Linked DNA regions of Danio rerio. The protein of the gene in region 2 interacts with the protein of the main gene of each other region in a pairwise test. Links are inferred from orthologs where the notes say so. Each region holds a gene or a part of one and is shown on either strand. Other genes may lie near its edges.

Region 1 (4,252 bases), on a different chromosome or scaffold from region 2:
TTCACAGTCACACATGTTCTTTGAATGGAGGAAAGAAAATAAATGCCTTTGATGCAATAAGTTTTTATTTCACTGTAAATTCTAATATATCATTTAATTTTACATTAACGGTTTCTGAGTAACTAATTACTCATTAAAGGTTTTGGGCTCCATTTATGTGCAGCTGGAAGGAAGTGGTTAAAGGGTGTTCTCGCCAAGCCATCAAACTAACTTCACACAGAACATTGTTCTTGAGTGAAACATTATTTTCAGATTTTAACTGTAGATTTTAAAAATAAATATAATTTTTCTCTGGACTGGCACATATAAACTATCCACCACACGAATAATAATGTGCTTTATTAAAGTAAACATGATGAGTTTTCATTGCATAAAGAATTTAAATACAGAATTACTCAATATAACAATTGTTTTTGTACTGCTGAGACTTTCAGAGAAAACAGTTCAAGACACTAATAAAATCAGGCATCTGGAGTCAGCAGCTTCATTGGCAGCGCTCCAACCCAAGTCATGGCTCAGGGAACTTTCGTAATCCTGCACCCCCTTTCTCCCACTTCATTTCCTGTCCACTGTCCATATATAAATATTGTGTCGTATATCAAGCATACGGGAATAAATTTGGATTTTTGTGGCATCTTTTAAAACACTTACTATACATACATCTTTTGTCATTATCATGTCTTTACTTTGATATAACAGTCATATTAACATATCCATAGGGGAATCCTATTTTCTATTCTCCTACCCTTACACAAACCTTTCTGCAATTTTATCAAACATTTATTATCATTTTTAGTGATTAAGATCCACCTTTTCCAGAATGTGCCTACTGTGTTTTTAAAAATATGGGTGGTATTACTAGTTTTGGCCTTAAACTTTCATCATTTCAAATAATGAAGTTGAATTTCAGATTCATATCTGTAATAAAACTTGAATGAGAGGTATTTATTCTGTTGCACTTCATATTTAACTCTCATGAAAATAAATCAAATTAATACACTTGGTATTTTAACAAAACGTTACTCAAACAACGTCACAATAATATCTATGGCACGAGCTCTTTTCAGTTTGATGCTTTTGCTTCTCCAGATTATTAATTTTCTCTTTATTTTCTCATGTAAATAAAACATTACTGCAGAAAAACTTGTCTCATGACTTGCTGAAAGCAATTTGCTAATTATACTAACTTTCCTTTTAATAGTCAGTGGTTGAACTCAAATATTTCTGTTAGGATAATTAAATTTTAATTTTCAGTGTGAAGTTCTCATTTAAATTTTTTCTAGAGATCTGCCATTGTGGTATATCAGAGCAGTTACTTACATTGAAAGTTTGCATCCATTTTTTTAATCAGTCCTTATTGAGTTTAGTTTTATACATTTGTTTGTTGTAGGCATGGGACAATAACTGTTTTCAAGGTATACCGTAGTTGGAAAAGTCATTTTTTTTTACCTGTCAAATGTTTTTGCTATACCATTCCTGCGGTATATGCAAGATTTCTTTAATAATTTTTTTTGTTTGTTTTTTAGGACAGCAGTATCTCCAACAGAAAAGATACCCAAAAGTGGTGTTTCAAATGGTCCAGAAGTTTGTGTTTTTGAAACTAATAAAACAGCAGAAGTCTACGATTTATTTATAATATTTATCCTGACATGTTCACTGCTCCAAAATACTTAAAATGTTTCTCAAAATAAAATGTGTTCAAAGAGGGGAAAAAAAAAGTTTTTGTTTTTGAAACTGTGATGTTTTCATCTAAGGGTATAATAGTGTCAGAATCTTACACCGGCCCATGTCTACTGACTGTACAGCACTTTAGTACATGTGTAGCTGTAAAGTGCTTACAAGATCAAATAAACGAGAAGGATATGGATTGCAAATATTTATGAGAAATTGTAACTTTTTAACATCTAATGAATTTCTACCTGCACAGAGAAGTTAAATGTGTAAATTAAGAAGATTAAAAAAATGTGTGAAAAAAGAAGAAAAACTAAATGTGTAAAACATTCAAAGTTTTCTGTATAGATATGCATCTTTCTGGTCTTTTTATTTATATTTCAAAATGTCTTTCATGACAGTGGAAGTCCTCTGGATTAAACCCCACGTGAAACATCCAGGTCATAACCAAATCTATCATAAATCCATGCTAGCAGATAGTGATGTTGCTGTTAATACTAAATGTTACAAGCTTCCAAACGTGTTGTCAAACTGAAACAAACTAACATAAATCTTACATCGCATATCTAGTCTAAAATCTCTACTTTAACTTACAATGACACCACACAAAAGCGATATATACTGAACTTTCATCTAACTGTTGATTTTTGACAGCCATGCTATGGCTCCTGGTTCCTGTCGGGGCCCCTGAGCTCATAAAATTCGCAGTTCGCATCCCCACAGGCATTTCTCAACATTACGCCATTCGGTCATGCGAAAACAACCATTTTGGTCCAGAAAACATATTCCAATATAACTAGACTTCATTGAGTCAATGTTAAAGTGTTGATCGGCGTAATCCTGCAGCTTCTTCCAGCTCTGTGTTTTTTGTAACCAGTTTTGTCAAGCAGCAAAATACGCCATCTTGCAAACTACATTATCACAACAACGGAAGCCGATGGCATTAAATTAACGTCTCTACGAGCTTGTCAGCTCGCGTATCGACATCATCAAACGTTACAGTAAAAGCCGCTGTATTTAAATATTCATACCTGAGTCGCTTCGAGGAGTTTGTCGACGTGCTTTACTCCGTTTACACTGATTTTCTCACAGTCCTTGGATGGATGGACGCCTCACCGGAAAAGGTTATGACCAATCACAAACAACGATTGACGTCAATGCGCCTCGATCTGGGAAGCCGGTTTCCCCTGACAACCTTAAAGGGCAAGGGCTTGTTTTTGTATTTAGAGAGGAGATCGAGGTTATCAACCAGAAAACTCAGAACATTCGGCCGCACATGACGTGAGGGTATAAATCACATTTTACGCTCCTCCGGGAGTGACATTCAAATACAGAAGGACAGTATTCCTTACCCACGTGTTTAGCACTGAGAATGAATCTGGTGACAGCTGAAAAGGTTAATGGCTCTGTACATAAACCCAAGCCTAAATTGTGCCAATTCAAGCAGGGTCACAACACTGCGAAGATATGACCCCCCCTTAAAATTAATGTCTGATTGACTGTTATTACAGTACACCCTTAATAATCTAGATTTAAGTTTTCTTTTCCTTCAGCTGAATTGACATCCTGCAAAATATTTTCATTTCCTGAACTTATGCTATGAATCAGGCCATGCAAAATGTGTCAGGGTGAAACCAGGTCCTGTTTTAGTGTCTAGGTTAAGTTTACAAAACAGATTTACAATCATACAAATGTACAATATTATAAAACAGTTGGCGATACCCATTGAATCTATAAGTATTAGTGATATAGTAATTGTGTTTTGCATATATAACTTCTATAATAGTCTGTGTGTGTTCAGCAGATGTAAGATGCTCATAAACGCTTTACCCTCTTGAGATTGAGTAAATGGTTAATAAATGTATTTCTTTTTTGGAACTGTGCAACTTTAAAGGGCACCTATTTTACCACTTTTTCAAGATTTAAGATGAGTCTTTTGTTTCTCCAGAATGTGTCTGTAAAGTTTCAGCTCAAAACAACCATCAGATTATTTATTATACCTTTCTGGATATTTTCTGCTCTGGACAAACTGTAGCTGTTTTTGTTGCCTGTGCCTTTAATGCTAGTTCTCCCCGCCCACCATTCCCAAACTTGTCAGAGTGTGCCACAATCTCAGCTGAGTCAGATAAACAGCACAGTGACAGACAAGAAGGAAGCAGATCTCACGTAATGTTTGTGAGAAATACTACAGTAAGAACTTTACTGATGCTTATTTTTTATGTATTTGTTGTGGAGTTTATTTAAGCCTTTCGATGAGTCACACAGAGTTTTATTACAAAGTGTACACACGCACACACACACACACACACACACACACACACACACACACACACACACACACACACACACACACACACACACACACACACACACAGCACTCGTGTTGAATTTTGCACTGATTTTGCAATGCGAATGTGAGAGGATACATGTTATTATCCACTGCTATATCGATATCTGTAATGTTAATGTACAAAATAAACCTGATTTAACGTCCACAAACCGAGATTGAAGCTTCTTTTATAATTGTACTGACATGCGGCTGTGGTTACAAGTAAAGATGGTAAAATTGCTGTAATTTCTT
Region 2 (2,257 bases):
ACAGTCATTAAATGGTACCTGTGTGCCTCTAAGCAGTATATGAGGTGCGCTGTTAAACGCAGACGTCTCAAAGTAAAGGAATCAGCCCAAGTCAAACTGTTCTCCTTTCCAGGATCTACTTCCTGAGGATAAATAAGAAGGCACTGAGGCAGCGACGACCTTGTCAGATGAATTATGCAACAGGCTTCCTGCTCCACGGCATCATATACACATTTACAAGCTTAGTAGCATCTATCTGATTTGTCATTAGCAATTACTAGAACATGAGAAAACACATACTATCATGGTTTGTTAGTGGTTAGTTGTTCAAAGAATTAAACGCAGCTCGTCGTTTAAAACTTAATGCACTACACTGTTTCACCTGAGGGAGGGTATGCTCAAGAACAGCCTGTAATCACATTATGCAACATTCGCTTCTCCGGCGTAGTAGCAGTAAGAAAATGCTAGCAAAAGAAGATGAAAGAGCACCATTGCCAAGAAATGCATCTACATGAAAGGACTTAAATTGGACTGAGAGGGACTTTAATGTGGAAGTGTAGCGAGCCGACAAGTAGTGTTCATGAGGATCAATTCCCATCAAACCTTTTGTTCATTTGCACAGGGCTTTTAATTATTTAGGGAAACTGTTATTGCCAGAGGAACCTTTGCAAACCTTGAATGAGAGACTAAAATATTGGGATCTGTATATTGTCAGTGTTTCCTAAAAGAGACTCTCAGTCACTGCTGTCGTCGTCATCGTCGTCATCTGAGATGTTGTTGCTGCCGAAGTCGGAGCCCTGCCGGCTGTAGGAGTCTGATCGGGGCGGGAGAGTAGCACCCGTCGAGAGCTGCTTGTAACAGAACTCGCACACGCGCACTGGTTTGGAGGACTGGCTGGGGAGAAGGAACTTTTTCTCTGAGCACGGGCCACATACGACGAAGCCACACTTCCGGCAGTGATGGCGCCGGTTGACAGGGGTGAACTTCATCTTCTGGCAGCGCATGCACACGGTTGCCTCTGAATCGGGCACCCAGACTGCGGCGTGCTCGCCGGTAGGAGATTTCCCGCTTTTTTCAAGCAAGTCCGAAACGCATTTGTTGATGTGGCTCATCCACTCGGACTTCTCCGTTGCGGTTGCGGCGTAAACAGCAAAGGATTTGGTGGGCGTTTTAATGAGCCAGCCGTTGCGCAATTCGCCCTCGTCCTCGACCGTGTCTATGGTGACGCTCTCCAAAGGGATGATGTGCTGCTTATTGTACTTCTTCTTCTGGATGACGATGTTGCCGTACACCAGGATGTCGTTGAAGAGGAAGAACTGCCGAGCTTTGGGTCTTTTGCGGCACAGCTTTGTGAGAACGCCCTCTCCGATCAGAACTCGACCTGGGATGGCCAGCGGTTGGCCTGCTGTGCCGAAGCATGCCTCCACCACCCCGATGCGTTTAGAGTTGGCCTCACTGTTCGCCAAGCGGTCCACCATCTTTCAGACACCTAGGAATAAAAGAGAGAAAAAGGGGTCATGATGGGAGCAGGAATGAAGATGATTACAATGGCTCAAGTTACCTTTGCATTCTCCCTAGACCATTTTGAGCAATGTAAACAAAAACAATGGTCACAACGAGTTTCCTGTTTTCCATTCGTAATATCTATAGCTTCAGAGAATCCAAAAAGAGCCACAAATTGATAAATAATGTCATGTTAGATGTTTTTACATTAAGTTATGATTGAATTTTCTCGTTACAGTTTTGAAATAGTTTGATCACAAGCAGGAAATGTTCATGACCCAATGGCATTATGGCATGACCACACTGAAATGGTCTTTAGACACAGATACCCAAGCCAGTGGTTCCCAAAATGGGGGTCGGTCATTTTATTAAACGATTAGAATTAACATATTTTATTCATAACCTATAGAAGAAAAAAAAATTGGTTAATAATTACATACAAAAACAACATGCAGTCAGCGAAATAGCCTAGTGGTTAGTGCGCTGACATTTGGAGCGGAAACGCTCCAGTCATCCCAAGTTCAAATCCCAGCCTGTGGACTTTTCCCAATCTTAAATCCTTCTCTCTTCCTTTTCACTTTCTGTCAACCTACTGTCCTGTCAAATAACCCTTTAACTGGCATTTTTAATTATATATATGATATGTATATATATATATATGTATATACATATATATATATATATATATATATATATATATATATATATATATATATGTATATATACGTATATATGTATATATACATATATACGTGTATATATATATATATATATA
Region 3 (4,255 bases), on a different chromosome or scaffold from region 2:
ACTAATATGATTAGTCTTGTTAAAATCTCAAGACTGAGAATAGTTTATAGAAAGTACTTTTCATCAGGCATTCAACGTAGACGATCCATTAGGGTCCTATGCAAACTCGATTGCAGGGGCGGGGCTCGATTTCTCACCACACTGACAGAACATAAACATTTTAGTAGAAAACTGACTGTGGTACTATTCCAGAAAATGAAACCTAAATCTAATTTCCTGAAAGCAACGCTGATGTATTGTAAAAATAAATACAAAACAAAAGACCTATGACCTTTTGATGGTCAAATTGCTCAATTTAACACACCATTTTATGCTGTGCCCAGTATTTCAGAGACAGTTTCATCTGTCAAGCTCATTTAAAATTTGCAATTATCAGTTTTTTTGGATAGGAAACGACAAGGTTCTACACCAAATGCTTCTCTTTAATTTTAATTACAAAATCTAAAGATTATTGCACTTAATTTGTATCTGGATTATAAGATATCATAAGAAATGTTCCTAGTTTTCTTTGCTGTTGTTTGTGTTGTTTTTTAAAGGCTATTGCAAATGCATGAGTAATGTAAGGAAAGCATGACAAACCAACTTCTCTCAAAAGTCACTGATCAGACTGGAAATTTTTGTAATTAAAAACCCATTAAAAGAATTAATACTGCATCGTGAACTCCATTTGTTCCAAACTTTTACCACAATCTTTCTGCAGGTTTATGAAGGTCATTTTAATACTTTGACTAAATAAAAAATCTAATTATAAAAAGACAATATGTGACCCTGTAGCACAAAACCAGTGACATGTCTCCGTTTTTGGGAATTAAGATTCGTGCATTATCTGAAAGCTGAACTAATGAGGTGTCCGTGACAATACTTGCCCAACATACAGCAATTTAAACATCTGTAATCTGGGGGTTAAAAAAAAAGCTGAGTTTCAAGTTTAACGCACAGTACTTATCAAAAATTTAGTTTTGCTTATGGTATATTTACTAAATAACTCAATATTGTAATGAATTGTAGCATAAAATAAATATTGATAATGTACATTTATCATGTACCCATATAATGATATTGACATGCAACATAAGACTGGGTTAGTGTAGCAGGGTCACATAAGTCAACTCAACATTTTCTCTAAATTGACAGTGAACACAATTTGAAAATACAACTTAATCATTTTACAAAACAAATAGTATAACTAGATTTCCACTAACCAGAAAATATATGTTCTCATCACACTGTTAAAAGTTTAGTTTATCCTCAGTATTGTCGTCTTGTTTTGCAGATAAAATATGGAAAGATCTTTAAACTAAGATATTTACTTAAGAAACAAAATGACATGATATAAATTCCTGAAATGGATCAAAATGAAGTGAGCTTATGATTAAAACAGCAAACATTTGAGCTTATTGAGCTCAAAAAATCAACTCATCAATTTTCGTTCCCTGTTGACAGATATTTGTTGTTGTTGTTTTAAGCATAACCTGACTTGTTCAATTTATTGCAAAAGTAAATTAAATGTATTCATTTTTGCTTGTTTAGATATTACATGTTTAAGCACATTCAACATTAATGCCAATGCCATTACGAATTTAAGATTTCTCTAATTTAGAAAAATAAGAGTCACAGAATCCCCATTAAACCCTTTTTTTAATATAACAAAGATATGTGTATTACTATCATTTTAAAATAATTTATCCGTACATTGACAATTTAGTATAAACAATGTACAAAATGTCTTTGGAAATCGGCAAGGGGGATGTTCCATAGGTTCAGTATTAATATTTAATGTTGCTTATTTATTCATATACGGTCTGATCTAACAAAAACAAGACACCATTGATGTTAAAGCCATAGATTTCAAATGATAACCCTGCCGTCGTATATTTCCATCGTCTAACTACTGCGCCACACACACACTGCGAGCGTCACGACACAGCAGAATGCTCGGATACAGAGATCTCGCTGCTGGCTTTCTGCGACGCGAGCTTTTGGGCTATCGCGTCGCGCACTCGCAGTGTGGCTGCGGCTCTCGCTCAGCCAACGTCCCTCCCTCCCTCCTGCAGCAAGTGCCCTGCTGTCGAGCACAGAGCTCCCCGAACCACCCAAAACAAGCAGACCCCGGTGCTCATCGAATCCAACACATCCATGCCCCCTTTTAAGGCATCATCCTATATTGTTTTGTCTTCCACCGATGCAAATCAGTCGGCGTTCAGTACCTACCCGGAAATATATGGTAGCTAATCTCAAAAAGAGAAGATATTTTCAGCATTAAAGGCTAAACTGGATTAATTGCTCCGCTTATTACGCACCACACCGTGAAATCTCGGTGAATCTTCCTGTAAGAAAACAGAACAGAAAGTACAATTGTAGCTACAGCTGTAAGAGTGATACTTAACTGGCTATTTGATGGATGCAATACACTGTTTTAGTAACTTACACATAATCGCAAATGTACACATACGGAGACGAGTATAGACTCGACCCCCGTGTTTAATCGCTTATCTGGCTGGATATTCTCAATAAACTGGCTGGGAAATTATTTCAAACGCTAGGTTGGCTGGCTAACTAGCTAGCAGGCTAGCCCCGTATTGAGGCTCAAGTATCGAAAATACAAGAGGTTTCATTTTCAAACATGCAGAGTACAAACAAAAATAACTATACTCACATCACTGTCGACCTCGATATCATCGTTGTCGCTCATTCTTCGGCGAAGATAGATAAATCTACACGAAATGTTGTTTTGAAAACAACATGAAACGGGGCCCAAATCAAATGAACAAACAGGAGAGATTCACTGCTTACACGAAACGAGATCAACGGACTCCCCACACGTGACTCGCCTACACACGGACATTTACCGTGGCGTGTCACGTCTGTGATTGCGCCGCAGAGCATCGTGGGACTTGTCGTTTGTTTAAGTTACGCAGTCGGTGGATGTAACCACGGAACTATTGTGTAGGACTACAACACCCAGACAGCTTTTCTGGGCGGAGTCTCTACATGGGGTTGAAGGAAAGCCCTTATGGTGGCAATGGGAGGTGGTAATTGTAGTTCATTTACATGTCTCGGAACCAGCAAGACACGTGGAGATTGCTCAGCGTTGTTTGTGACTAATACGTGGGTCACTAATACTGTGCATATTTGTGAGTAATTGCAAACTATAAAAATATTTAGACCATTGGTAATATTCTTGTTTTAGTACTCTTATCAGAGCTATAAAAACACAGAAACATGGTTACTCTAACGACCTACTTTAAATGTGAACTTGATGACAGTTTAAAATGACAGAAATAAACAAACAAAAACAGCACGGTTTGGATGTCAGTTTCTGCTAATACTTTATTAATAACAATTATATAAAAAAAACCCGGAGAATAAAAACAATGTTGTTTTGGCTATTTTGATTATTATGGATGTGGTGGTTTTATCACAGCTGTATTAAAGCATAATAATAATTCTGTAGCTACAAAATATTTCAGAGGAAAACTTGTTGTCATGACAAATTTAATGTAACATATCTCATTTTAAAACAGAACTGATCCTGATTCTCTAATAATGGTGTTATTCATAACAGTATAAAGCTGTGTCTTAGAAAACACAATTTTGATTCATTAGTAGTGGGCCTACTTTATACTGTTATCAATAGTGTGATCAGAGATTACTGAAAATACTTTAATATTAATAATTTAAAACCCTTTAACAAACAACTGCTGTTGTTATGACTGTGATCGGGCAAAAATAAATCTTTATATAGACAGTTGTTTCAACTTTAAATTATAAGGGAAAAGTATTTAGTTTTGTAATTTTAATCAATTATCTAGATCAAATACAGCAGATCATTTCAGAAGAAAACTATAACATAGAAAACTATATAATGCATTTCAAAATAAAACTGATCCTGATTCTTTAATAGCAGGCCCATAGCAGCCTGATGAAAGAGGTGGTTGTTTTTTTCTCAAAATGTGGACCTTTTTGCAGTTATCGCCTTATTTTCTATTTAATTATTATGTTTAGCACTATTTTTAGCTGGATTCGCTTGTCGGATGGATCATAAACACTTTTTGATACACCAAAAGTATTTCCTTAAAATTTATAATAAAGGAATATGAAATTCATTCATTCATTCATTCATACATATTCATTTTCCTTTCGGCTTAGACATTAATTTCCTTCGGACGCCACAGCGGAATGAACTGCCAACTTATCCAGCATATGTTTTATGCAGCGGATGCGCTTCTTGCTGCAACCCATCTCTGGGAACAGA
Region 4 (3,516 bases), on a different chromosome or scaffold from region 2:
GACATTTTTCAGGATTCTTTTATTAAGTTCAAAGTATATATATGAATATTTTTTTCCAAATGTACTCCAGAGTGTATTATTACAAAACATTGAAACTGAACAAAGCATTATTACTGCAATATCATGTTTTAAATATGAAACTACTAACTTCACATACAAACATCTATCAATCTAATCTGCCTTATTGCAACAGCATATGTGAAATATAAGCATATTAAAGACTTCACATGCAAACATCTTTCAATCCAATATTTCCCTCCCTATACAATCATCTTTTTTTTTTTTTTTAATAAGGCTCTTGCTCAAGAACAGTTATTTTACTCTAATCTCAAGTAAACAGGGCATTTACTTGCCTTTCAAGTGAAGTTACTGAACCTATTCATAGAGGTATAGAAGTTTTCTCTCTTATCTCTTAATGATTTCATATCCATTTCTAATACTACTATTTTGAGTGATTAAAATAGGTTGAGGATAAAGATTAGATAATAAAGAAACACTTGTAATCAGAAACAATTTTTTATATTTTTCCTTACAGTTGCAATTGATTGATACATTAATAATTTACATAATCCATTCTCATTTTGCTAACAAGGGAAAAAGCATTAGTACATCACAAAGTCAAACTTAAATAGTTAGGGAACTGTTTCTTGTTGCGGGTCATCCTAGAAAAGAAACTGTCAAATTGTTCATTCAAAATAAACAATCAGGAAATCTTACTTAGCTGTCTCACCAAAATATAATATCTTAGACCAGATTAAAATCTCTCTCAAATGCATCCATATTTTAGCACATGCAAAAACCTCACAAGTTAACTTGGGCCCATTTGACAAACCTTTTTTAAGGGAGTTGTGGTTGTATGGTTGCGTCTCATATGGTTCACTCAATAGAGCACTATATGTAAGCTGATTTTCTGAGAATAAATTGTATAAATGTACATGTATACAGTTTGGTTGCGTTTAGCATGCTGTGGTAAATGATATACTGTACCTGCTACTTAAAGGGATATATTGCAATAGACTGTTGCAAAATAGGTGCACTCCCATGAAAACTAATTAGAGCATATATAGTTAAAACCCATAAATGAATATTGTTCCATTTCTGTATCAGGCAGCTTCATCCTGTTGCATATGAGAACACCAGTGACCACAGTATCCCCGGTAGAGAGACATTTGTAGCAGTATCAAGGGACACTCTGAGCAAAGGCTGGAGAGAAATTGCTGTCTGAGAGTGAGGGAAAAAAAAAAACACATTTAAAGTATGTTTGTCAAGTTGCAAATTCAGGATTATTCCCTGAACAATAACTGAACAGGTGTTTTTATTGACACTCAACAGCTTTACGATTAGAGACAGACTTAAGATCAACAAACAAAACGGTATTTCCAACGAGTAGACAACACTCAAAAGGCAACCTTTTTCATAAGTGCTTGGCAGGCTGCTGATACTTCCACCAGTTCAATAGCATTTAAGAACATTAAACATTAAAATAAAGCTTCTCTATGAACAATTATATGTACATTTTTTTTAAAGTTGCATCCGTTGTCTTGCTCTTAAAGTGTGATATTCATAATGGGTTGCATGTCTATCTTAATTCACAACCATATTTATTTTTAAATGATTAAGAATATATGAAGTTTTTGTTTTACTGTGGAACAAAAAGACCAGGAAACACACAAGCTAAGAGGGAAATGTGTGTATTTGCCAAAAAAAAAAAAAATTGTAAGAGTGATTTTATTATCATTAAGTATTTGACTTATTTATTATTATTATTTTTTTTATCAGTTTAGCTCTACACTGGATGCAGGAAAAGACAGATTAACATGGACTGAAATTGTAGAGGCTGTTTTGACCTGCTGAAGAGTTGGAGTATTATTTTGTCACTTACAAATGTACACACGCACACATACATCTATATGCAAGGCCCTCATTCCCCATACTGACTGAACCTTTTCTTCATTAGGAAGAAAAACAGCAAAACAAATGCAGTCACTCGCCAGCACACAAGGAGCAAGAAGAAAAACGATACTCATTTGAAAGAGGCTGAAACTCTGTTCGCCATGAGCAAGATCTCCTGGTTGTTTCAGCTCTGCTTGCATCTGTGCTCGCTTGAGAGGTGTCCAGAGCTCAGGTAAAGGGAAACTATCTAACCTTGCCGTCTCTCTAAGGCTGTGAGCTGCCCTGACTGTCTGGATCGGTGCCGGAAGAGCTGGTGTCAGAGTCAGAGTCGCCGTCGTTGTCCTCTGGTGGGCACTTTTCCCGCAATCGCCTCTGGATGGCTCTGAGACGAGTCAACAAACCCTGGTAGTCAAAGCGACCTCGCTTCTCCCCAAAAGGATCCTGGGAGAAATACAACAAAAACATTTCAACTTGATAAGGAAGACGAAAAAGACATTTAGGGTATTAAACTAAGTGCAAACATAAAAAGCATTACAAAACAGCAAAAAAAAAAAAAAAAAAAAAGCAAAACAACAAAAATAAAGAAAACTTCCAGAGAGCTCAAATAGTAAACTGTTTTCTGATATATTCTGTAAAGGTTATGTTTAGGGATAGGGTTTTAGCACAGAATACACAATTTGTACAGTAGATCTGATACATTTCACATTCACTGCTTGCTTAACGCTATTTGAAGTTATTAAATAGGACTAATATGGTCTCTTTATCAGATCAAAGGTCTCAAACTGGACAGACTTGCGTTCTTGTAACGTCTGTTCTTGCCAGGTCACTTCGAAAGTACAAACTCGGGAGACCGCGAAAACACAGAACGTGTCCTGTGAGAAATGATGCGCTCTTTCTGAAGGAAATTATTTCAACATATTTTCAACATTACAGCATATATACACAATAATTTATTGTTTTCCCCCTTTCAATAAATATATATTTATACACACACACACACACACACACACACACACACACACACACACACACACACACACACACACACACACACACACACACACACACACACACACACACACACACACACACACACACTCAGACACACAAACACAATACGCATAATACAAATATAACTGATTTTAATATGAATTTCAGCAAATAAACACCCTTACTGTGTTTTTGCTTCCCAACTCCTTATTCAGCAACAAAAACTTTTGGGACTTTTGGCGAGTTTTGCGCTTAGGTCTGCATCAATGCATCCTCGAGATCAAGAACACATCCCGGAACTTTCACGTGTCCTCTGTTCTTGCGGTCTTGAGTTTTGGAACTGAACTTTGACGTTTAATGATGACATTAAACAAGAACACGAGGATGCAAGAATACTGAAAAACACATATTGAGAGACAGCCTACAAGAGACTATTAAGCAGGTGTGAATTTGAGCTGGTTGGACCTGAACTATGCAGAGCTGCGGCCCACCTAGAAATTGAGTTTGAGACCATTGCTTTACAGCCTAAAACCCTCTAACAGCAAGTTGTTCAGATGAAGGTCAAAAAGAAAAGCCCTTTCCACCAAAGTAAACATTCTCATATGAAATTTGTGATTTCTAGAATATTGCATA
Region 5 (3,500 bases), on a different chromosome or scaffold from region 2:
TTTGCTTGTCAACATCAATCATGGATCTCGCTCTTCCTGCTGGGGTTTTCCTTGGTCTGTTCTGAAACATCTCAGCATCATCAGTCACTGTCCCAGCAATGTCTTCCTGGCTCTGCTGTAAATTAAAACCAAATTGTTTTGGTGCATTGACATCGGTTTTCTTTGTCACTTTAAGTTTTGTGCACCCTTGGTCAGTGTTATCAGTCTTCTCATCTTGCTGTACCGTTTGTGCATTAGATACCATGCTATCTTCAGTAACTTTTCGATTTCTTCGCTTTTTACTCCTTGATTCCTCTGTGTAATGAGTGCCACAGCCTGTTGTTGTCTTATTATCATCATCCAGCCTATTGATTGGCTTCTCAGGCTCCTCTTCAAATGCACATTTATCTTGGCTATACGGTTGTTTCTCCTTAGCACTATCTTGGTTTTCAGTATCTCTGTCCATTTTTTTGACCCACTGAAGGTCTAAATTATGCATGACTGGAGTTTTGGTGGGGTCTTTTCTACCATATTTACGTTTGATGTTCCCAAAAACTTGCTCAGTGACTTGCTGCAAACCTCTGTCTTTGTTAAAAGAGAACAGACTTGAGTCAGTTGAGGGACTCATTACTGTATTGACTGAAGATGCTGCAAGTAAGTCAGTGCTTGGTGAGGACATGGCAGATCCAAAGTGACTTCCAGATAAACCGTCTGCGACTTTTTTGACTTGTGTTTTCAAGAAGGGGGTGCTGGGCTCTGGCAAAGGACCCTTGTTGGTGCATGCTGATTCTTTTTTTGTTTCTGGTTCTGTTCTGTTTTGCTCTTGGGATCCTACTTCTCCAACAGTATCCAACTTCTTTGTCCAGTCAAGGTGGAGAATGTCGTTGCTTTTAGACTGCTTTGGTTTTGTGTTCTCCATCATCACATTTTCAGTTTTACCCAGAAGTTTAGAGGGCCTTTCGTAAGTCTAAAAAAAAAAGACAAAAGATAAAATTTAGAATATGAAACAATATTATTTCCAGGTCATTCTGTAAATCTTTACAAGCTCTTTGTTCTCTTACACTAGGTAGCTTGACAGAGAAACATTCACACCCCATACAAAAAAACAACTATAACTAGGAACCTACATGTTGTTACTGATAACAACTCCTGTTTTGCTGCCAAGTTCTCAGTTTGTGGGCCACACCTACTGAAAGCATATAATACTGTGCACCATTGTGCAAGCCTTTGAGACTTGTGGTTTGGTCTGTTAGAAATAACGTATTGCAAGATCAGCACTTGATACTAGGATATGTTCTGTAAAGCCATCCTGTTTTCAAAGCCAACAGCTACAGGCGGTAATGAAGTTTAACCACAGTTTTGTTTTTCAACAGGTCAACTTCCATTTCAGAGCTCTGCAGCTGAGGCTAAGACAGTCTATGCTGCGGTTTCAGATTAGTTTACATCTGGGGTCCCAGCATTTTCAACAGGCTCACAACAGGAAAGAGACCAAAAAGACCAAATTCAAATAGTACCTTTAGAAACAAAAACAAGTTGCACCTATAACTTTTACTGCAATAAATGGAAAACAAAAACAAAGAAAAAAAAAACACTGAGAATCATTGAACAAAAACCCTCTAAATGTTTAAAGCTTAAAGAGGTTGGAAAATATTATGTTACTTTGGCACTGACATGTCTGATTACATCAGCAGAAAATAATTTAGACTCATGGAGTCTGGTTTGTTTAGATCAGAGTACAGCAAATGAAACAACTTCTGACATAAACCAAAGAAATGCATGAAAAGACAAATGTGGGAAAACAGTTTAGAAAGGTTTATATAAGTGCCCTTGAACGCTGACATCTTGGAGTGATGAAAGGCCTGTCTTTTAAACAATTGTGAATGTGAGCTGAACTCAGCTGAACTATGCACCAGAGAAAAAACACATCACAACTGCATCTGTTAATTAATGTAAAATCTAGTCACTTCAGTGAAGTTATTACGAGCAAACCCAGCAAGATTTTTTTTTTTCATGGAAAATATTACTTGCCCTTGTAAAACTCACTAGCAAGGTGCAAAAAGAATTTCAGTCTCTAAAGCATTCCTGAAGTAATGCATGTTGACTAGTGCATGTGCCCGACCTATTGCAGGGCTCGAAATAAACTTTTTTACTTGGTAGCACCGGTGCTCTCAACTTCAAATATTTAGGAGCACCAAAAAATTTTAGGAGCACCAGAAAAAATTTAGGAGCACCCACCAAAAATGAATGAGCACCGCTGCAAATTGTTTTTTAAGGGATTTATTGTATTTTAAAACAACATTAATAGGACTGACAAAAACCAGAAACAACTATCTAACTAATGCTGCGAAGACATTGATATTTGTGTGCAATAATTCCAAAATGAATGTCTAATAATTAGGCCATAGAATATTAATGATGATAAAAAATGACAATAATAGTAACAATGAATTCCATTTCTTATTATGATACTGCCTTGAATGTGCTTGAATGTAGGTTATCTGCTATAAAAAGTCTGTTACTTTATGAAAAATAATTGTATAGTTTGCATCAAACAAAAATGAAGCATTGCAGTAGGAAATATTTATTTTGTACTGCTGTTTTTATATGCATGTCAAATTAATAAATAATATTTCTGCTACAAAACAAACAAAAGATTATAATAAATCATTCAATTCAATGATGAAAGCTGCAAAGCAGTCATCAGTAAATAAAAAATAATAATAATATACACCTCAAAAAAGAATAAAGAAAAGTAAGTAAGTAAAGTCTCACTTCTATCACTCTTTAAAAGTTTTGCTTTCAGTTTGTGTCAATTTAAAGGTTCAGTCTGAGATTATCTTCATTTTTCTGTGTTAGTGGAAAAGCTGGCGAGTCAGCCGACCCAATTTATGAGCAGGCAGAGCAGGATTCTTGCGCTAACCATCGGCGCAATACCGGTCTTTGTTATGAGCCACAGTTTCAGTGTAAACTTAGTAAAGGCGAGCTTCTTTGGCGATGATATGTACAGTATTAGATTTGACTTTTAGCGGACATTTGCGCTGAACACGCAGTGAATGCAACGCATGGAGATTCGGGCACCTTCTCCAAGAAGCGCGTACTCGATTGATCACAGCTGGCGGATCATTATTCACCACGTGACATGTCATGATCGCTTTCATCTGCGCCTCAACTTTAGGTGGGGTTTGCAAACCTGTGTGCTTTAAGTTTTTACTCTTCAGCTGTTTGTATTTCCCGTGGTCATAAAAGCTCCTTCCTTGTCATCTGACAGCGGAATACCTTGAGTGAATGACAGCTAATATGAACCAATATAGCCGCAGGGAAGAGCGATTCAGCACGTTTTTACAAAAAATCAAAACAGGTCGCACTACAACCATTATCTGCAGTCGCACTAATGCGCCCAAATATATTATGAGGTCGCATAGATTAATTTTCGGGCGCATATGCGACCAAAATGGTCGCAATTTCGAGACCTGTATTGAGTCAGGCAATAAGAGCTCAAAACCGGCTTGTGACATTTCAAC
Region 6 (4,079 bases), on a different chromosome or scaffold from region 2:
CATGGGGAGCAGAGAGAAAGAGGAAGGGTCGGCATTGGACCTCAAGGTGGAAATCGAACTCAGGTCGCCGTGATCACCGCCGTGAGTGCATTTGTTGATGCACTAACCACTACGTCATCGGTGCCAAACATATTTCGAATAGGAATCATTTGATGACATATAAAAACACTACATAACGGATGCTCCAAAAAAAAATAATAATAATAATAATAATAAAAAATTGTCATTAATTGTCATTTTTAATCTTTATATTTTGCAACTATCCTTCAAAACCACTACGTTTTACCCCAATTTGTAAATATTCATATGATCACTTACTTGTTTAAATATTCCAATAAATACAACTGTGATTTGTGTAAAATATGCCTACATTTTGAAGTGATAAATTTACCTCTGATTTAGCAGCCTTGATCTGCACGTTATCATCGATTTGAGTCCTGTTTCGATCCTCAAGGGCAGCACAGTGGTCAGATGTAAGAGGATCATCAGTAAACATCTGCTCAGATGTATGTGCAGTTTCTTTCCTTTCACCGATGTCTGGGTTGGAACTTGTACAGTTATTTGCCTCAGACTCCACTATCTGCTTCAAACTCTCAGAGACCGACTAGAAGCAGAAGGTTAATAAAAAAAAAACAATGTGGTAAAAGACAGTCTTACAGTGTCTTTATAATGATAAACTGTGTCTTAGCAAGGAGTCAGAAGATAATGTGCAGTAATGCTGGTCATATACATTTAAAAAAAAAAAAAACGCTGATAAGCTAATCAGAGAACCATCTTGAAGGACAAAGGATTCATTTTGCCCTGTCAGTTTTTGTTTTGCAAAAAACACTGAACATATTTACATTTTAAGAACATTATTCAGGAAACAACATTATTCCACTTGCATAATATGAATTTAATAGTGCAGGGCAACGATTAATCGTAGTAAACCGTGACCAAAATATAAATACGTTGTAACATAATATATATGTGTGTGTGTAGTATGCATATTTAAAACACACATATACATAAAACTTAATTTTACAATAAAAAATATTATATATATTTTATATGTAAATGTAAATAAACATTTTCTCAAAAAAATTTAATAAATAGCATATTTATATATATATATATTTATATATATATATATATATATATATATATATATATATATATATATATATATATATACACACACACACACACACACACACACACACACACGCGAACACAAACACACACACACACTTACATACATACATGCATACACACAAACACACACACACACACACACACACAAGCTTTGAATTTGGATGTGATTAATTATAAATAAACATGAGTCAGTACTATGTATTTTATATATTTTAATGATCAACTAAAAGAGTGCACTTACTTTCTATCCCTCAAAGCCTTAATTTCATAAAATAAAAACATTGCAGCAAAAGCTTGTTTCCACCAAAGAAAAAACAAATAAGTAAGGATAACTGTGACTTTTCTTCAACGCATTGTGATTTGATACTTGCAACTGAAAATGATGAACATTATCTCGTAATTCTGACTATTTTCAGTATTGTTACTCTGCATCTCAGGGTTTCAAATGGTTTTGACTTCGTTTATAATAATTTATATCTTGTAATTTAAACGTTTTATCAAAAATGTGAGATACAAATGAAGATTTGTGGGCAATAAAGTCCCTATTCTAACATAAAAAGTCAAAATGCAAGATAAAATATTAAATAGCATTATAAAATTCTGACTTTTCCACCAATAATATATCATGTTTCCTTCTGGCAATACTGATGATATTCTCTGAATTACAATTGTGACATAATGGGTTTAATTTTTTATTCCATTGTGGAAACAAATGTTCACCAATTCTCTGGATAAGGTTCATTACAGATAAGTAAACAAATAAATGGCAAACAAAATTCACTTACAAGATCTATTTAAAGGTTCAGAAGATATCTTTATACTTAAAAAATCAGCTATGTGTGTTAGTAAATGTTATAATGCACATGACTCTGTTTACCTGTAGTTTGGAGATGTGCTGTTGTAAACAGGAGTGCACATGAGATGGCTGAAGCTCACAGATGTTCACATTGTTGACATTGGCACTGATTTTCAATGCGTTATCATCTATTTTTAACTGGAAAATAAGACAGTTTTTTGTTGTTGTTGTGGTTTCTAAATTGTCAATGCAGAAAAGATGCCTAAAACAGACTAGGTGGTTTATTTCGCTGGTCAATATGGTTTGTTAAATGAGTAGTAAGATTTTAGGCACTTGTCAGCTGGGGAGGCAGGGAGTAAAACCAGCTAAAAATTGAATAAAAATCCAGAAAAGAAACATATGAGACCATTATAAAAACTCCAGGACAGGCTGATTATTTCAGCAGTGACAGTGGAAATATTGCATATTACAACTTATTGCAGACAAGTACAGACAAATTATCTAAGTGATTGAAACAAATCATATTAGCGCGGACAAATCATATAATTTTACGACATGGGTGATCTTGTTACTTCGGAAAAGTTCCATAATTTAACGTTACATATTTAGCTTTTGGCATCTCAAATGAAATAACGTTACAAATATGACTGTTAAGAGCTCTATCCCAAACAGTGACACCGTGGCAGAATTTGCTTTTAAACAAACCTTTACTCCAAGCTCAGCGAGGGAGTCGACAATAGAGGCAACGCAGTCTCTGAAAGCATCCCTTTGTCTTGCATGAAGTGAAATCTGGCTTCTGCTTTGCTCTTGTTTACTTGCAGCACACGCACCGCGTCTTTCGCCGTCCGCCGCCATCATTCTTCCGCTCCCGGCTGCTGCGCTGATTGGACCAACGGTCTCCTGCATAACATGACCTCACTTCCGCTAGCAAAATAACGAGCATTTAAAATTGACTACTGCAAATATAAACGAAGGTAAATTACTTTATTTCGATAGTTTAAATATTGACATTGACCGTGTTTAATGTTTATTATTTTGTCCGTCACAAAACAATCTTCTGTTTCACCCTTTTGTGTTTTTAAATCGCATTTAACATTACAATTTATCAATATGACTAAAATGAAACGGGTTTTTATGTATATGCCAAGGGTAATGCATTTACCTGATCATTTCATGTCATTCTTTAAAAAGCTATTTAAAAATACACACACCCAGACAAACAAATAGGGTTCAAAAGGTTGTGTAACGTTAAAGGTAAAGGCCTGTAAATAAAAAATGTATGCCTAAATGATATTGGAAAAAACTGACATTGCAATATTTTCATTCACTGTGATATATATTGCGATATAAATGCAATTTCACCAGATGAATAGCTTGCTAAAATTGAGTTATTGTGTAGTGGAGCATATCTGCATAAAATATAATTTTAAAGGGCACCTATGATGAAAATAATATTTTCTAATCTGTTTGGACAGAACTGTGTATAGGTATAGTGTGTGTCCACAGTCATATTAAGGTGATATAAAGACAATAGGTCTCTTTTTAAAAAATTTCTTAATGTTAAAATAGGATTTAAATCCCTCCTATTTTGAGGCCCACCGCATCGTGACATAGGAGGGCGGTTTCCCTGTCCACCGAATTGATTGACAGCCGCGTACTAACATGTATTAGTAGTAATACGCATAATCATATCAACAAGGCACAAAGTGTGCAAAGCAACTGGGATTAAAAGATCTGTTCAGCTTTCTGTGATCATCAGTCATCATCAAATGTGATCGAGAGTGAGTTTTACAAGTTTAAAAAGTTTTTAAAACAGTGCATGTTTGTAATGAATTACAGAGATTATGCCGTCTTTATCACCACAACAGCATGTCAGTACAATAATATAAAAGACTCCTCAATCCTGGTTTGTGGACATTAATTCAGGCAGTGTATATTAAATGTGCATTAGGGGATCAGCCTAAATGATAACCGGCTAGCATAATATTTTTTAAATTCAATCTCTCCACTGCTGGCCAAAACCACGCCTCCTGTTATCACAAACACGCACATTAAAGATGACAGAGACCCACTAGATCATGTCATTCACCAGTTAGAAAAGTTTATAGTACTTTATAATACTAAAATTCCCAATGAAAAACTGCTTTAT
Region 7 (4,185 bases), about 34 Mb from region 2:
ATACTTACATACATATAAATATATATATATATATATATATATATATATATATATATATATATATATATATATATAAACAACAACAAAGAAAGTTACAATTAAAATAATTTTTTTAAAGAAATTAATCATTTAGCAGTGTCTTTTATCTAATGTGACTCTCAATAAGAGTTAAACAATAAACAATTTCTGGAGTTTTGGGCTTTTACAGATTGTAGTATTTCTGGTGACAGACTCACCTTCCCACAATTCCTGCTCCTGGAAGCTGCTCTGCCTCGCTGCTAAAGGGGTCACTTACTTTTGCATCCATCTCGACGTGTCTAATAATAAAACACATATCTTAATCAACAAGAATGTATTACTATTTTGATTTAAATATATTCATATGTTGATTTAATTTCCAACAGAGTTGAGAGCCACTGGTACATTTATACTATGTGGGTTGATTGAGATGTAAAGGACATTGTGGTTGTCAAAAGAAGAAAGTGGGATCATTGGGTAAGATGCAATAATAAGTTACTGTTAATATTGCTCAGCTTTTTGCACAGACCTATAGTTTCCCTTTATTAGACCTCAATGTGTTTTCAGGTGTCACAGAAGTTAAATATGTTTTGCCTGTATATTTATGTTTGACTCTATAAGTGCAGGTAACTGTTGACTTGCATTGTATGAATAACAAAGGACCATGGCCTTTCATATAAAACTTCAAAAGGTTAGTTCACCCAAAAATTTAAATTATGTGATTAAGTACCACTATTTGTCCTCTCTTCCGCTTCAGGTAATCAGAGTTCATAATAAACGCATGTCCTGATCTGATACGTTTTTGACACACAAAAGTGTTCTTGGAGCTTCATATGATTATAGTTGACCCACTGAAGTCACATGGAATGTTTTGACAATGTGTTTAGTTCCTTTTCTGGACTATAAATGTGTCTGGACCATAAAAGGATGATGAGGAAACTTAGATTTCATGCAGGAATTAAAAGGACGTGAAGGTGAGTAATTAATAACAGAAGTTTTATTTTTGTGTGAACTAATCCTTTTATCCACTTAAAAAAAACACTCACCAGGCCCGTAGCCAGGGGTTTTCGGAAGACCCACCCACCCACACTGACAAAGGTCCAGAATTTGTCCAATACATGAGCTCATTTGTTCTTTTTTGACTGCTATGCCATCATAAATAGTGAAAATAACCCATCGAAAAAGGCATTAAGACCAAGCGTAATCCTGGTGTGACTTCAGTTAATCAGTTTTGGCCAATACAAACAATTATTTTTCAAGAGTCCAACATCCAGCTGTGCAAGAAAACACCTGACATAAGCAAAGTCATCTTTCACTACTTTATTGTTTTCAAATTGGGAAAAGATTTGACAAGTAACTTTTATTATCAATCACTTTTCTTGAAACAAAAAATAACCAATAAAGTGTAAAGTACTTATACAAGAGGCTAGAAAAACTGTGAAGCTCTTAACTGTTGTTGTTGTTATTATTATTATTATTATGTTTTAGTTTTTTATTATTATTTAAATGGCCACATTCTGACTGAGGAAAGTTGAATGTGCTGGCCAGTCAGTTATTTGCTTAATAAATTACACTAGGCTACAGTTTCTAATTTAAAACGTTGATGCATGATAAATGATGCAATATATTTCTGTTTTAAAAACACATATTTGCCATATTTATTTCTTTATTATAAATATTTAGGAAATGTTTTGGTACATCAAAAAGTGTGGTTATGATGACCATCCAACAAGATAATTGATTCAATAAAGTCAGGTAAAAAGTGCTTAAAATTTCATCTAAATTCAGCATTGAAATCTCATAACTAAACAGAAAATGAGGCGAACAACAGCAAAAAGATCTACCTATTAAGAAAAAACCCTTTCAAAAGGCTGGATTAATGAATAGCAAACTATAGATGAAAGGTTCTTCAAAGTGAAGTATAAGATAAAGGAAAAGTTATATTCGGATATTCAGACATTCTCCTTAACAATATAATTTCAGAAAAGTATTCTTTGCAAATTCCGAATAGGAAAATCATATAAGCACCAAATGATTATCAAAGTACAACATTGTTCACAATCAATTAGATAGAATTAATGTTATTTAGAAGTCATACTTGCAGGCTAATTCCGATCGAATATTCAAAGTAACATGGTAAACAATATAGGGACTTCTAAATGTGCGAATATAAAACCAACTTTACCTCTAACGTTATAAGTACAAGAACATGCACATAACTTTAGTCAAGGGATACTAAGACTTTTACACTTGATAGGAAAACAATGAATTTGATCTCCTTCACAGAAAGCAACTTTCTAAACTTCCTCTGTATGTCTTCACTTAATCTATGAAGCTCGCTTTCTATGTTATGGTAAGTTATGAACGTGTTCAATGACGTTACTGGAAAAATGATGTCACTCATGGGCTGCAACTGAAACTCTGCGTTCAAGAAGAGAAACAATCCGGTAGAGCAAGTTTGTTAAGCTGCTACATTACGTCAGATGTGCCTCAAAAAATAAATTATTACAGTCAGACAATAAACAACGTTTTCTTTTTTTGGTATGTCACAAAACATAATCCATAAAGTTTGTTTATCAAATCCGTTACAGACAGCAGCAAGCGCTCTTTCTCAAAATATATATCGATACCCCTTAACTTTGAGATCAATCGGTAACGTTAGTAACATAGAGAAATCGACAGACAGTGAGACGAAATATTTCTAGAATTGTGCTTTAAAAGGGGAGTAAACCTTAAAGTAACAATCATACTCACAGCACTTTGTGTAGATGTGTTGACTGTGTTGATGTGCAGCGGATATGATGTGGTTCGCAAACAGCGGTGACGATCTTCTTCTGTTGACATAAGTTAACACGAGTCAAACTTGCGACTGCCTCCTAGTGACACGGATCAGCATACAGGGCATGCACCTAAATTTTTTTTAAATGGATACAATGTCCTTTACATGTTATAACTATTATTTTGCATTAAGATAAAATATAGAAAATGAGGTTTAATGATATAAGAAAAAAACAGCAAAACTAAAAAAATATGAAAATAATTTTTAAAAATTCAAGTACAAAAGATGCATTCTAGAACTTTTGGGCCCCTTGGCTGGAATTGTTTATGGCCCCAAAATCACTAAATCAGCCCTTGATAATATATAATATATTTTAATATTCAAGAACAGACATACCTAGTAATGAACATTGTATAGTTGACATTCATTTGCAGCATTATAAATATGTGATGTCAATAAATACTTTTTTTCTAGCTAAATGCTATTAATTTCAGGAATTGGATTTCTGTTCTTTTCCAGTACACACTGCCAAAAACCTTGTGGCCTATCCAAGTTTTAGGAACAACAAATAACTTGACTTAGTTGATGATTTGGTATCAGTGGCTGAAAGGCAAAGGCCTCTAGTGTACGCTTCTTTTACCAAAATAAAATATGATTATGCCTTGATTTTTTATTATTTAATGAGGATAGTAAGGCCTGACTTTGCTAAAACAAAAGACTTAACAGAAATAATGTACAGTATAGAATATAAAGTCATGGTGCAATGGAAAAATAATTAATATTGTGTATGACTCCCATGAGCTTGGAGGGCTGCATCCACACATCTCTGCAATGACTCAAATCACTTATTAATAAAGTCATCTGGAATGGCAAAAACAGTGTTCCTGCAGGACTCCCAGAGTTCATCAAGATTCTTTGAATTCATCTTCAATGCCTTCGCCTCCATCTTACCCCAGACATGCTCAATAACTTTTATGTCTGGTGATTGGGCTGGCCAATACTGGAGCACTTTGACCTTTGCTTGCAGGAACTTTGATGTGGAGGCTGAAGTATGAGAAGGAGCGTGATCCGGCTGAAGAATTTGCCCTCTCCTGTGATATGTAATGAAAAGGGCAGCAAATGTCTTGATATCTCAGGCTGTTGATGTTGAATAAATGTAAACACAAATCATATTTTTTCCTTCACCAAACTTGACTGATTTCTGTGAGAATCTTGGGTCCATGAGGGTTCCAATAGGTCAGCAGTATGTGTGATGCAGTTCAACATGATTAATCAAAAAATTTACCTTCTGCCACTTTTCCAAATGATCAACTAGAAGTCAAGTTACTATTTGTTGCTCTTACAGCAGGGATCGACGACAATACTTTTGTCAGGTAGTGTAGGCACAG

What was found.
Region 1: the proteins of plekhf2 (region 2) and prkar1aa interact in binary tests that used the Homo sapiens proteins (3 or more experiments, as listed by UniProt). The two-hybrid records come from large-scale screens. The link is inferred for Danio rerio from reciprocal best matches to the Homo sapiens genes PLEKHF2 and PRKAR1A.
Region 3: the proteins of plekhf2 (region 2) and max interact in binary tests that used the Homo sapiens proteins (3 or more experiments, as listed by UniProt). The two-hybrid records come from large-scale screens. The link is inferred for Danio rerio from reciprocal best matches to the Homo sapiens genes PLEKHF2 and MAX.
Region 4: the proteins of plekhf2 (region 2) and ube2z interact in binary tests that used the Homo sapiens proteins (3 or more experiments, as listed by UniProt). The two-hybrid records come from large-scale screens. The link is inferred for Danio rerio from reciprocal best matches to the Homo sapiens genes PLEKHF2 and UBE2Z.
Region 5: the proteins of plekhf2 (region 2) and setbp1 interact in binary tests that used the Homo sapiens proteins (3 or more experiments, as listed by UniProt). The two-hybrid records come from large-scale screens. The link is inferred for Danio rerio from reciprocal best matches to the Homo sapiens genes PLEKHF2 and SETBP1.
Region 6: the proteins of plekhf2 (region 2) and mbip interact in binary tests that used the Homo sapiens proteins (3 or more experiments, as listed by UniProt). The two-hybrid records come from large-scale screens. The link is inferred for Danio rerio from reciprocal best matches to the Homo sapiens genes PLEKHF2 and MBIP.
Region 7: the proteins of plekhf2 (region 2) and rabac1 interact in binary tests that used the Homo sapiens proteins (3 or more experiments, as listed by UniProt). The two-hybrid records come from large-scale screens. The link is inferred for Danio rerio from reciprocal best matches to the Homo sapiens genes PLEKHF2 and RABAC1.

What each region holds. Positions count from the first base shown.
Region 1 is NC_133178.1:35,128,392-35,132,643, forward strand, and holds the start of prkar1aa (cAMP-dependent protein kinase type I-alpha regulatory subunit), read right to left. Parts: upstream 2,801-4,252; 5' UTR 2,703-2,800; intron 1-2,702. UniProt on the Homo sapiens protein: Regulatory subunit of the cAMP-dependent protein kinases involved in cAMP signaling in cells.
Region 2 is NC_133191.1:44,847,369-44,849,625, forward strand, and holds the end of plekhf2 (pleckstrin homology domain-containing family F member 2), read right to left. Parts: intron 1,469-2,257; 5' UTR 1,458-1,468; coding exon 714-1,457; 3' UTR 501-713; downstream 1-500. UniProt on the Homo sapiens protein: May play a role in early endosome fusion upstream of RAB5, hence regulating receptor trafficking and fluid-phase transport. Enhances cellular sensitivity to TNF-induced apoptosis.
Region 3 is NC_133195.1:31,576,429-31,580,683, forward strand, and holds the start of max (protein max), read right to left. Parts: upstream 2,801-4,255; 5' UTR 2,693-2,800; coding exon 2,657-2,692; intron 2,328-2,656; coding exon 2,301-2,327; intron 1-2,300. UniProt on the Homo sapiens protein: Transcription regulator. Forms a sequence-specific DNA-binding protein complex with MYC or MAD which recognizes the core sequence 5'-CAC[GA]TG-3'. The MYC:MAX complex is a transcriptional activator, whereas the MAD:MAX complex is a repressor.
Region 4 is NC_133178.1:22,323,243-22,326,758, forward strand, and holds the end of ube2z (ubiquitin-conjugating enzyme E2 Z), read right to left. Parts: intron 2,335-3,516; coding exon 2,158-2,334; 3' UTR 501-2,157; downstream 1-500. UniProt on the Homo sapiens protein: Catalyzes the covalent attachment of ubiquitin to other proteins. Specific substrate for UBA6, not charged with ubiquitin by UBE1. May be involved in apoptosis regulation.
Region 5 is NC_133180.1:56,228,735-56,232,234, reverse strand, and holds part of setbp1 (SET-binding protein), read right to left. Parts: intron 947-3,500; coding exon 1-946.
Region 6 is NC_133192.1:40,162,938-40,167,016, reverse strand, and holds the start of mbip (MAP3K12-binding inhibitory protein 1), read right to left. Parts: upstream 2,801-4,079; 5' UTR 2,789-2,800; coding exon 2,636-2,788; intron 2,129-2,635; coding exon 2,012-2,128; intron 605-2,011; coding exon 392-604; intron 1-391. UniProt on the Homo sapiens protein: Inhibits the MAP3K12 activity to induce the activation of the JNK/SAPK pathway. Component of the ATAC complex, a complex with histone acetyltransferase activity on histones H3 and H4.
Region 7 is NC_133191.1:11,086,695-11,090,879, forward strand, and holds the start of rabac1 (prenylated Rab acceptor protein 1), read right to left. Parts: upstream 2,801-4,185; 5' UTR 2,773-2,800; intron 318-2,772; 5' UTR 308-317; coding exon 237-307; intron 1-236. UniProt on the Homo sapiens protein: General Rab protein regulator required for vesicle formation from the Golgi complex. May control vesicle docking and fusion by mediating the action of Rab GTPases to the SNARE complexes.